Rattus norvegicus: one gene and its partners. The protein of the gene in region 2 interacts with the protein of the main gene of each other region in a pairwise test. Links are inferred from orthologs where the notes say so. Each region holds a gene or a part of one and is shown on either strand. Other genes may lie near its edges. The genes, in order: Usf1, Fosl1 and Creb5.

Region 1 (3,752 bases), on a different chromosome or scaffold from region 2:
TTGGCCCTACCACTGTCTCTACTCAAGCTGGGACTACAGGTCCCATTTAGCAATGGTGGCTGTTTGATAATAAAAGCTGATTTTTTTTTTTTTTTTACTTTTAAATTGTGTATGTACTTACTTTTATTAAAGTTTTGGGTGAAAGGGATCACATTTGTTGCCAAAATGTACATATCTCGTTTTTTCTTATTTAGATATTCTTCCTCAGTTGTCATGGAAACCTGTGGCTAGAAAGTAGAACTGGGTTCACGGTGGTCAAGAAATGGGGAAGAGAAAACTGTATTTACATAATGTTCAACTAATGCCAGGAATTGGGCTAGATTTGTATGCTTAAAAACTCTTGAATTTATTCAATCCACTAATTTGGTGAAGGTGAATTGGCATTCGAATTTTACAGGGACATTGAGGAGATTAAGTTGTAACTAAGTAAAAATGCTTATCAAAGATCTCAGAGTCAAGAAATGGCCGTTTCTAGGTGTGGTGGCATGTCTTTAATCCTAGCAGTTAGGGGTTGGGGGGAGATCTCGTGTATTGAGTCCAGCATGATTTATGTAGGACAGGCAGTTCAGGACTATGTAAAGAGACCTTATCTCAAAGAAAAAAACAAAGAAACAAAAGAAAAAAAAAAAACAAAAAACAAAAGGGTGTCAGTTCAGGGTCCGAATGACTTCAGAATCTGAATTCTACCTATTACACTTCACTATTCCAAAATCATTCTGGGTGTTTTCACTATTCCAAAATCATTCTGGGTATACACCCAGGAAAATGGTAATCAAAATAGTCACACAAATGAGGTAAACTGGAAGCTATAAGATCTTCAGAGTATTGTTGACGCTAATACAAAGGAATATACTCAGATCCACGTACGCCCAGAAATGTCCCAAACTCCACTTGGAAACCCCTCAAAATGATGCCCTGATCCAAGATGGCGTCCCAAATTGCCCTTATGAAAGATGGCGCCTAAGAACGCCGTTTCTCCCTCTACTTCCTTTGACTGGAACTAAAAAAAGGCTCCGCCTACCACAAAGATGGAAATATAATATAGTCGTTCTTTTTTTTTCCTGGTTCTTGCTGAAAGCAAGTAGGACTCTAGCGACGTTCCCAACGATACTGTTTCTCTTCTGAGCCCGTATCAACTCACATCTCCAGGTCGGTTCTAGACCGCATCAAGTTTGAAGTGAACGGAAGTGCGGCAGCTCTGGGGCTGTCTGTAGGTTGGGCGGGTCGAGGACACACTTCCGCCCCTCACCAATATGGCCGCAGGCTGGGACTGCGCATGAGCAGCTGTCTATGGAGAGACCTAGATCCAAAGACGGAGAACGCTGCCGGGGGAAATTGGCGACTGAAGCGGCCTGGGCCGGTGAGTGCGTTGGAGCGGGCCAGAGTCCGGAGACGGGGTGGATCGGCAAGGCGGGGCACCTTTGGTTTTTGCTAGATTTTTCTCAGGCAAGGCCACGCCTGGGCACGGAGCCTTTGTTTTGGGGGAGGGGGCCGTGCCTGGCTCTTTATCTCCTGCCCTGCTTTGTGGGCCAGGCTCGCTCCCCGCCCTGGAGTGCACACGTCCCACCCGCCCCCGGTGTTCAGCTGCGAGCCTCAGGCCTCGGGAGGTCTCCGGCGTCCTAACCCGTCTCTCCTCCGCGGAGCAGCTGGGGCGTGGGCGAGCGGGGCTGGGCCGGCGGGGTCACCGCGCGGGCTGTGGGGCTCGCGCCTGGCGGGTGCTCAAGTCCCCAAGCGCCTACTACTAGTTGGTGGGCCTGGAGGGAGACGCCTCGTTCTCAGGCAAGGTCCCGGCGCCTGAATTCTTTGGGAACTTGATCTATTTGTGTGCGTGTTTCTTTTATTTCTTTTTTTTTTCTTTCTGCCTTTGCGTCTGTGCTTGGTGAGGACGTTTGCTGGGCCCTCCTTTTTTTTTTGAGCATGCAAACCACAACATCCTAGGCTGATTTCCGTGTCACATATTATTAATGCTCAGGAAACGCTTCCGGATGTACAACCAAGATTTGAGTAAGTAGCCTAACGCCGTTGCTGGGTGGCCTCAGAAGTTGCGCTGACAGCTGTGGGCTATACAGTTGCCTTCTGTGCCTTGCCCTCTCTTTCATTGCCTCCTCCTGCTGGCCATGCAACAAGCTTGGGAGGAGGAAGAGTTCCTCCCGTTAGAGGATGGAGACCTAGGTGGTCCCCAAGCCCGGACTCTGCCTCCCTTTGCAGCATTACTTTGTACGGACAGTTTCACTTTCAGTTCCTTTTTGTTGTTGTTTTTGTTGTTGATGATGATGTTACCGTTTTCTTTGCACACGGTCTTTCCAAGGCATATTATCCGCTAAACTAAGATTTTCCTTGGATTAGAAAGGTTTGGAGGATTATACGGGTAGAGCATTTTAAAAATCTTGTTCTTTCTTGTTGAGATTATTTTATTGCTTTGTACTGTGTAGCTGTTTCTTTCTGGAGGCATCTGTCTGTACAGTCCTTTGTTTTTCCTTTTCTCTGGCGGGTTGTCAAAAGTCCTAAGGCAGGAACATTGTAGATGGACTCCTCCCCCATTGTCTTCTTCAGAACCCTGAGCCTGGAGGTTTTTCCCCCCTCCTCCTGAGGCTTAGTTGATTTGGAGTTGTCATGGCAACATTTTAGCAACTGTGTTGCTCTACAGGAAGCCTTGCTGAATAAAATAAAGAAGCCTTGAATATGATGCACTTGGGCACTGGTGTTTGTAACAGATGCTGTAAATCTGGACTCTCACAAAACAAGAGCCCTGATAGCAGAATGATGCCCAAGAGCCAAACCTCAGTTTTATGTTTAGCGATGGTTTCCCAGTGGCAAAAAACATGTCAGTTTTTCCCTTCTTAGAGAGGACTGGAATGCATTTTCTGTTCTTACTTGATTTTGAAGCAGGATCTCTCTATACATAGCCTTGGCTGTCCTGAAACTCTGTAGACCAAGCTGGCGTTGAACTCACAGAGAATCACCTGCCTCTGCCCCCTAAGTGCTGGGACTGTGTGCACCAAAACCCCTGGTGAGGACTAGAATGTCTTTTTAGAATGTTCTTTTTTGTTTTTTTGTAGAAAGGGTTTCTCTGTGTAGCCCTGGCTGTCCTAGAACTCACCCTGTTGATCACCCTGTTGATCAGGCTGGCCTTGAACTCCGAGATCTGCCTGCTTCTGCCTTCTGAGTGTTGGGATCAAAGGATCCAACCACTACCTCCCAGCTTTGAATTTCTTTTTGCAGTCTGTGTCTGAGAAGCTGGAACCAGATGGACCGTAGGTAGGTAGGTAGGTTGGTTATGATGTGGTGGGTGTTAGTTAATAGTTTGGATAGTGGTGGTCTAAACTTTGCCCTTGCTATTCCTAAGGAGCTGCTGTCATCGAGTATAATGGCTTTAGTAATAATCTGTAATAGCTTCAAATACGCACCCTGAGACACATTGTTTCTCAGTCTTCAAGGATAACTTTCTCCTTGCCACCAGGAGTTGGGATGAAAATGGAGGAGCAGCTGAGTGGTGGTGACCATGCCTTTAATCCTAGCACTAGGTGGGCAGAGGCAGGCAGGATCTCTGAGTTCAGAGGCCAACCTGATCTACAGAGTGAGTTCTAGGAGGATCAGGGCTACAAGAGAAACCCTGTCTCAGAAAGGAAGGAAGGAAGGACGGACGGACGGACAGGTTATGGTGTGTACGTGCACATACATGTTTATGGTGTGTACGTGCACATACATGTGTGCGATGGGCTGGGTACCTGGGATGGTCAGGACAACTTTCA
Region 2 (3,156 bases):
TGACAGTCAGAGCTATGAAAAGAAACCCTGCTTTAAAAACAAAGCAAACAACAACAAAAAGAATCTACACAGGGAAGACCAAAGGGATGGGGGACGGAGGCTGACACAAGGCTCCTAACACTTAGGAGGTGGAGGTCGAGGAATGGGGGTCTGAGGCCAGTCTTGCCTACATGTTGAGTTTAAGGCCAGCCTGGGACACATGCCAGATGTGGCAGCACACATCTTCACCTGGGTGGTAGAGGCAGGTGGGTCTCTGTGGGTCCCAGGCTAGCCTGGTCTATAAATCAACTTCAAGGCCAGGCAGGGCTACTCAGAGATTCTGTCTAAAGTACAAAGAAACAAAACTGAAAAGCAGGAAAAAAAAAACCTATGTAAGGGCTGTAACTCAGTGGTAGAGCATTTGCTAGCCTGCACCAGGCCATGGGTTTGATCCCTAGCACTAAACGAAAGTCCTAGAAATTGCTTTGCTAGTAACTTTTGGCACTCAAGGGCACCTTCTACCATTCATAGCTCCTGTGGGGAAAGAAATCTCATCTTCCACAGATGAGAAGGCTGAGAGAGTTCTGTAAAAAGAGATAATCGGGGTTGGGGATTTAGCTCAGTGGTAGAGCGCTTGCCTAGGAAGCGCAAGGCCCTGGGTTCGGTCCCCAGCTCCGGGAAAAAAAAGAACCAAAAAAAAAAAAAAAAAAAAAAAAAAAAAAAAAGAGATAATCATGTCTCACACACTCAGGAGGGATGACTACTTCAGCCTGAGAGATGAGAAGGCCTCCTGGGGTCCCAACATCTTAGTCCAGTCCTAAGATGAGGAAGGTCAAAGTTTATGGAGAGGGAAAGCATTACAGGAAAGAAACCAGCAGTAAAGCCAGGTGTGGCTGGGAATGTCATCTATGAGGTGACCAGCCGCTGGTACACAGAAACAACTGTGGAGTGTGGGTACCTAAACTACAGGCTGAAGGAAAGTTGGATGGCCAGCTCAGGGCAGCTGGTGGCTCAGGGTCAGCCTCATTGTCCCCCTTCTCTCCCAACCTAGATCAGCCCGGAGGAGGAAGAGCGCCGCAGGGTGAGACGAGAGCGGAACAAGCTAGCAGCTGCTAAGTGCAGAAACCGAAGAAAGGAATTGACAGACTTCCTGCAGGCGGTGAGCATCATCTGATACAGAGGGTCCCCAGGCCCGGAACCACCGAGCCTAAGAGGGGCCTCGGCTCCCAGGAACATAAGAGACCCAATAAGTTACTCTTCCACACTCTGCCTTCCTCCCTGTCCGAGGGGAAGTCCTGGAAAAAGGATAAGGGAAAGTGGCTTAACTATTGTTTGTCTTGGGCTTCAATGCAGAGTCCTAGTTGGTAGGCAAATCTCCTAAGACGCTTGGGCCTGATGGGAGTCATGCCCATTTTCTCCCAGGGGCTCATGGGAGTTGCAGTCCAGACTTGTTGGGGATTCCAGGCACAATCCCTACTCCAGCCTGAGGCTTGGAGATCTTTAGCCTTCATTTTCCTAACTTTCTGCTAATCCTGTAAAGGAGACCGACAAGTTGGAGGATGAGAAATCGGGGCTGCAGCGTGAGATCGAAGAGCTGCAGAAGCAGAAGGAACGCCTTGAGCTGGTGCTGGAAGCCCATCGCCCCATCTGCAAAATCCCAGAAGAAGACAAGAAGGACACAGGTGGTACCAGCAGCACGAGTGGGGCGGGTAGCCCACCGGGCCCCTGCCGCCCAGTGCCTTGTATCTCCCTTTCTCCAGGACCCGTACTTGAACCGGAAGCACTGCATACCCCCACGCTCATGACCACACCCTCTCTGACTCCTTTTACTCCGAGTCTGGTTTTCACCTATCCTAGCACACCAGAGCCTTGTTCCTCAGCCCATCGAAAGAGTAGCAGCAGCAGTGGTGACCCCTCCTCCGACCCCCTAGGTTCTCCCACACTCCTGGCTTTGTGAGGCACCCAGCCACACCCCTTGCAGGTGCTACCCGTTGTCATCTCCTTTCCCTGTTCATCCAGCAGGCCTGGACCATACCCATGCCCCAAACCAGCAGGTCTTTTATCTCTTTCAAGTAGAACAAACATGTTATGCTTTGATATAGAGCCAGCTTGGGGGTCCCCAAAGCTGCTCACTGTTTCTCTAGAGCTGGCCTATCATAATTTGCATACAGAGAAAATATGTCCCCTCTGCCAGAGTAAGCCTGGCAGCTCTGACTTTGTAGATCCCCAGTGGTCCTTTGATGCCTTGCAGACCACTTTCCCACACCATGTCACTTTCTTCATGTTATCCAGCCTACTCTAAGCCTAGATAGAAGGTGCCCTTTAACTAGCCTAGAACACTAACTCACACAGCACCAACAGCCAGCAGCACCAGGACACCCTGTAGGCTCCTCCTGATCAGGAGGCACCAACAGCTTCTGTGATGAGCTGAGCTGTACTCCCTAGCTCTGAGAAGCTTTTAGCTCTGGGGTATCCAAGCCTCCACAGCAAGGGCAGCTGCTATTTATTTTCCTAAAGAGACTATTTTTATACAAACCTTCCAAAATGGAATAAAAGGCTTGAAGCTCTAGTCTGAGTTGTCATGTTGGATCCAGAGGCTAAAGGAAACCATTTGGAACAGGAGCTCCAGGTTCCAGTCTTAGCTGTGACCTTGAAGAAACTGCCATATATGTTTTTGGACTTCAATATTCTCACCTGAAGAATGGGGCTACCTCTGTTCTGCCTGTACTGAGAGATTGAGAATGCTTTGGAGTGCAAGCAAAGAAGATTATCAATTATTTTCCCCATGGGAACCCACATTACTTCTGTCTTAAGGACTGGGGGCAGGGAAGGACGGCAGTATATCCTTCCACCATCTGACCAGGCGGGCTCAGTGGGCTTTAGGCCCCCAACACCTGCTTCCTGTCCCATTGTTTTGGACAGGAAGGAGCCTGGAAGGGAGCTGGAGCCACTTCAGTGGCCGGATTTCGGCCTGTCTTGGCGCCCATCGGGGGAGTTAGTGATCTACCACAGTCTCAAATCCCACCCCAAATCCAGGTGATGGGGAGTCAGCCCTAGCTCTGCAGCACCGCCGATGGGAACTGCACCGCATCTCTGGGTTTCCGCCCTCTTCCCAACCCCGGCGAGTTCCAGACACAAGCTGGCAGGCTTCAGGCTCTGCTTCCTTCCCAGTTTATT
Region 3 (3,652 bases), on a different chromosome or scaffold from region 2:
CCACACACCCACCTGGGATGTGGTGATGGATTCCCAGGGGACAGCAAAACCAGATTTAGTTTCTACCCAGTGTGATTTCAGGTGAGAGAAGAAATAGATAATATTCATAAAATTAAGAACAGGTACAATCTCATGAAAACTCCTATGGAGGAAATGGTTTCCATCACTATAGAGGTGTGGAAATTTCCCACAGAATGGCTAGTCTGAGAGGTGAAGGGCGGAGTCAGAACCTCAGAGCGTCAGTGTCAGCGTCAAAACAAAACAAAGGGAAACAATATTACAGGTCAAACATGGAGTAAGATCAGAGTGCAGGCAGAAGAATGCCAGAGGTGGGAGGAGAGCACAGAAATGGGTAGATGAGCTATTTGGTAGGGAGGGTCCCACATCTGTCACAGATGCTGCAAACACTGCTGCTTCAAAGCACAGAAGCCACTGAGTGAGCGTGGGCAAGCACACTGGGCGCCATGTGGACTGTGGTGGGTTACACATTTGGTGTAGTGTATGGGAAGGGGGAGACAGAAGAGCCAAGCAAGAGTAAAAAGGGTCTCCCACGACAACAGAGGTTCTCAACCTTCCGAATGTTGGGACCGTTTCATGCAGTTCTTCATGTTGTGATGAACATCAATCACAAAATTCTATTTGCTACTTCTCGGCTGTAATTGTGCTACTGTTGTGATTGTGATGTGAATATCTGATAGGCAGGATATCTGATTGGCAACCTCAAAGGGGTCGAGACTGACAGATTGAGAACCTACCTCGGCATGACAGGAAAGGAGATGACAGTGGTTAGGTAAGGGCTGGAGGAATAAGGCATGGGAATATAGAAAGACGAGGGATGCTTGGGCTACACTGGTTGGATTTGAAACTGCATCTGGGGATGGCAAAAAAGAACTGTTCTGGGAAACTTACGGAGACATCATACATTTTATATTCTCCTCTGTGCTTATAAAGCTGTGACTTGAAACACCAGACTGCACAGCTTTCGTGATACACGGTGAAAACAGCACAATAAAAAGAATTTCAAAACAGTCAGAATTCTTCTAGGCTTCAGATATAGCGTTGAGATATTGGTGATTATAAGAAATATGAAAATGTTTGAGTATCTTTGAGAAGGTGAGCAATGCAAAAACATCCACACCCTGGTCTAGACTTGGGGGTGCAAGGATGTTCAAGTTCACGTTTGAGAGGAATAGCATATGATGTTTATTTTCACCATTATTTTGGTGACGTCTGAAGCTTTAGATCCTATAATGGAAAACGCAGCCAGTCCCCGCCCGCACGGCCCCCTGTCTCTACACACCATCTCCTTCCTTCTGCATGTGCCTAGCCACAGAGTTTCCTCACGTCAGAACAACCTTCAGTGTGCAAGAGGAGCTTTGGGGCCATATGTATGTATTTCTGAGCCCTTGGGACCCGTGACGACACAGTCAACTCTCAGTCTAAGCCAGGTGCCCGTTTTCCATCTGGGCTCCTTACAGAGTGTGTGGTCAGGGCTCAGAAACCACAAACCAGGGAAAGGTGCCTCGTGATGGGTGCAACCACCTCCAGTACTTACATGTTATCACCATCATTTAACACATAGTGCGGGAAATCCTGCTCTTTGCAGAAGAAATTCAAGGGCCACTTCATGATCTCCTTTGATTTTTTTTTCACTCTTGCTAACACCAAAGTGTGGACAGATACATACTTTTTTTCCTCAAGTGGATTGCAAGTGACACTCCATTTCTTTCCCTGCATCTCCAACCTATTGTCCAATTGACTGCTGGAAGTTCCCTACCCTTCTAGGCTGACCAGCACCGTACCTACCTGTACAGGGTTCTGCTTCAGACTCTTGCCTGTTGCCTTGATGGCCGTGCATTTTCTCTTCCTTTGCCAGGCTCTGCCTTAGTCACATTTCAGCCCTCGTGCCTTGATCAGTCCTCTTCAGCCATGGTGTGCCTTTCTTCTTGTCCCACTGCCTTGCTTCTTCTACTGAACGCGGTCTTATTCTAGCTTATTTCAAACACCATAGCTTCCATCAGAATCATCAGAAATCCATGCATGGCAGTAGCCTGTTGTGTGACTCAGATATTGAGTCTGGAGTTCATCTGGGCAATAGCATCTGTTGAAGAGCTACTCCACTCCACATGCCAGCATCCCACAGGATGACAAGATCCCTGTTCTATATTTCATTATTCCACGTGGCTGTCAGAGGGTGATTTTGTGAAGACACAGAAAAATATGTTACATTATTCTTGACACTGGATCCCGAGGGCCCCAATTTCATCTATTAGAACCATCACATTTTAGAACCTGCATTAAAACCTACACATTTTATAGGTTGTTCAGCACCAATGATTATAATCTAGATCCATATGAGATTCCTGGGCAAAAAGGTATGTGGTTGTGGTATTGTAGTACTGAGAGCAAGGAACTCAACCTGGTATGATGCGTACACAGAACAAGATGAATGAAATCCACCAGATCATAGCATCCTGTCCTACCAATTTCTAATGCAGTGTGCATCACCCAGTCACATGAGGTATACACTAACCCTTCTCGCCTTCCACCACATGGGCCTTCCCTCAGGGTGGCTGGTGACAGGGTGGCTCAGCAAATGTCAAGGCATTTTCAGGTATGCTTTACTCTCTGGTAAGTAGCTATTTCCTCTTAACTGTTCAGATACAGCAAGATACAGCAAGACCTATGCCTTGCTAGAAGCTTTAACTTTGTTTAGGCAAATGATCAGATTTCCAGCTTTGGCCTTGGAGGGCTGGGGAGTAGATCAAATGTTGGTTCTTTCTGACCTTTTCTCCTCTGTCTTCTCTGGGCAGAATATCTCCATGCACAATACAGTTGGTGGGACCATGACGGGGCCTGGAGCTCACCAGTTAGGCAGCTCACGGATGCCCAACCACGACACCAGTGTTGTGATTCAGCAAGCCATGCCTTCACCCCAGTCCAGCTCAGTCATCACGCAGGCTCCCTCCACCAACCGCCAGATCGGGTAAGAAGACTTCCTCTTTGTCTCTGGGAGAGCTCGAGCAACCGTTTGTACATTCTCCCTCGTTCGGGTACTTGGATTTGTTTTTCCTGTCTGGTATGACGCTGCCAAGAGGCCAGAGTGATGCTTTGGATGAGAGAAGGGGGTCTCCGTTTCCTCAGAGCTATTTTGATCGTAGATGTCAAGGGGAAAAACTATTCATTATGTGACATTATTTCTTCAAATAAGATTTGCGAATGGCAGACAAAAATAGTGGTGTTATGCTGACCACAGAAGACTGCTCGGGACAAATGTTTGGTAACAGCAGAAGTTCTGCAGCCCAGGTTCCTCCTTGCAGTGCGCCCCGTCCACAAACCCCTGCCTAGGAGTTTTGGAGCTGCTTAGCTGGGCCACTTGTATATCCCACAGCTGCCTTTCTTCCTGGTCTTTCTTTCCTACCTCTCTTTCTTGTTATTTCTTTCTCATTAGCCCTTCTTGGCCCATACTTATTTCTGGAACAGACAAAACATTGCAGGTAGGGCCCTTCCCTCTCATTTATGGAACAAGGCAATATTGAGACCTTCAGGGAAACTGGTAGGAGTCTCTTGACATCCATGTCTTGGGCTGGAGATTGTTCTCACTTCTTTATGTCATGACTGGTCCAGGGAGTGTGGTCTGACCACCAACAAC

What was found.
Region 1: the proteins of Fosl1 (region 2) and Usf1 interact in binary tests that used the Homo sapiens proteins (3 or more experiments, as listed by UniProt). The link is inferred for Rattus norvegicus from reciprocal best matches to the Homo sapiens genes FOSL1 and USF1.
Region 3: the proteins of Fosl1 (region 2) and Creb5 interact in binary tests that used the Homo sapiens proteins (3 or more experiments, as listed by UniProt). The two-hybrid records come from large-scale screens. The link is inferred for Rattus norvegicus from reciprocal best matches to the Homo sapiens genes FOSL1 and CREB5.

What each region holds. Positions count from the first base shown.
Region 1 is NC_086031.1:86,376,448-86,380,199, forward strand, and holds the start of Usf1 (upstream stimulatory factor 1), read left to right. Parts: upstream 1-1,314; 5' UTR 1,315-1,360; exon of another isoform or gene 1,361-2,004; intron 2,005-3,222; exon of another isoform or gene 3,223-3,258; intron 3,259-3,752.
Region 2 is NC_086019.1:212,189,845-212,193,000, forward strand, and holds the end of Fosl1 (fos-related antigen 1), read left to right. Parts: intron 1-1,030; coding exon 1,031-1,138; intron 1,139-1,519; coding exon 1,520-1,936; 3' UTR 1,937-2,547; downstream 2,548-3,156.
Region 3 is NC_086022.1:83,881,156-83,884,807, forward strand, and holds part of Creb5 (cyclic AMP-responsive element-binding protein 5), read left to right. Parts: intron 1-2,813; coding exon 2,814-2,986; intron 2,987-3,652. UniProt on the Homo sapiens protein: Binds to the cAMP response element and activates transcription.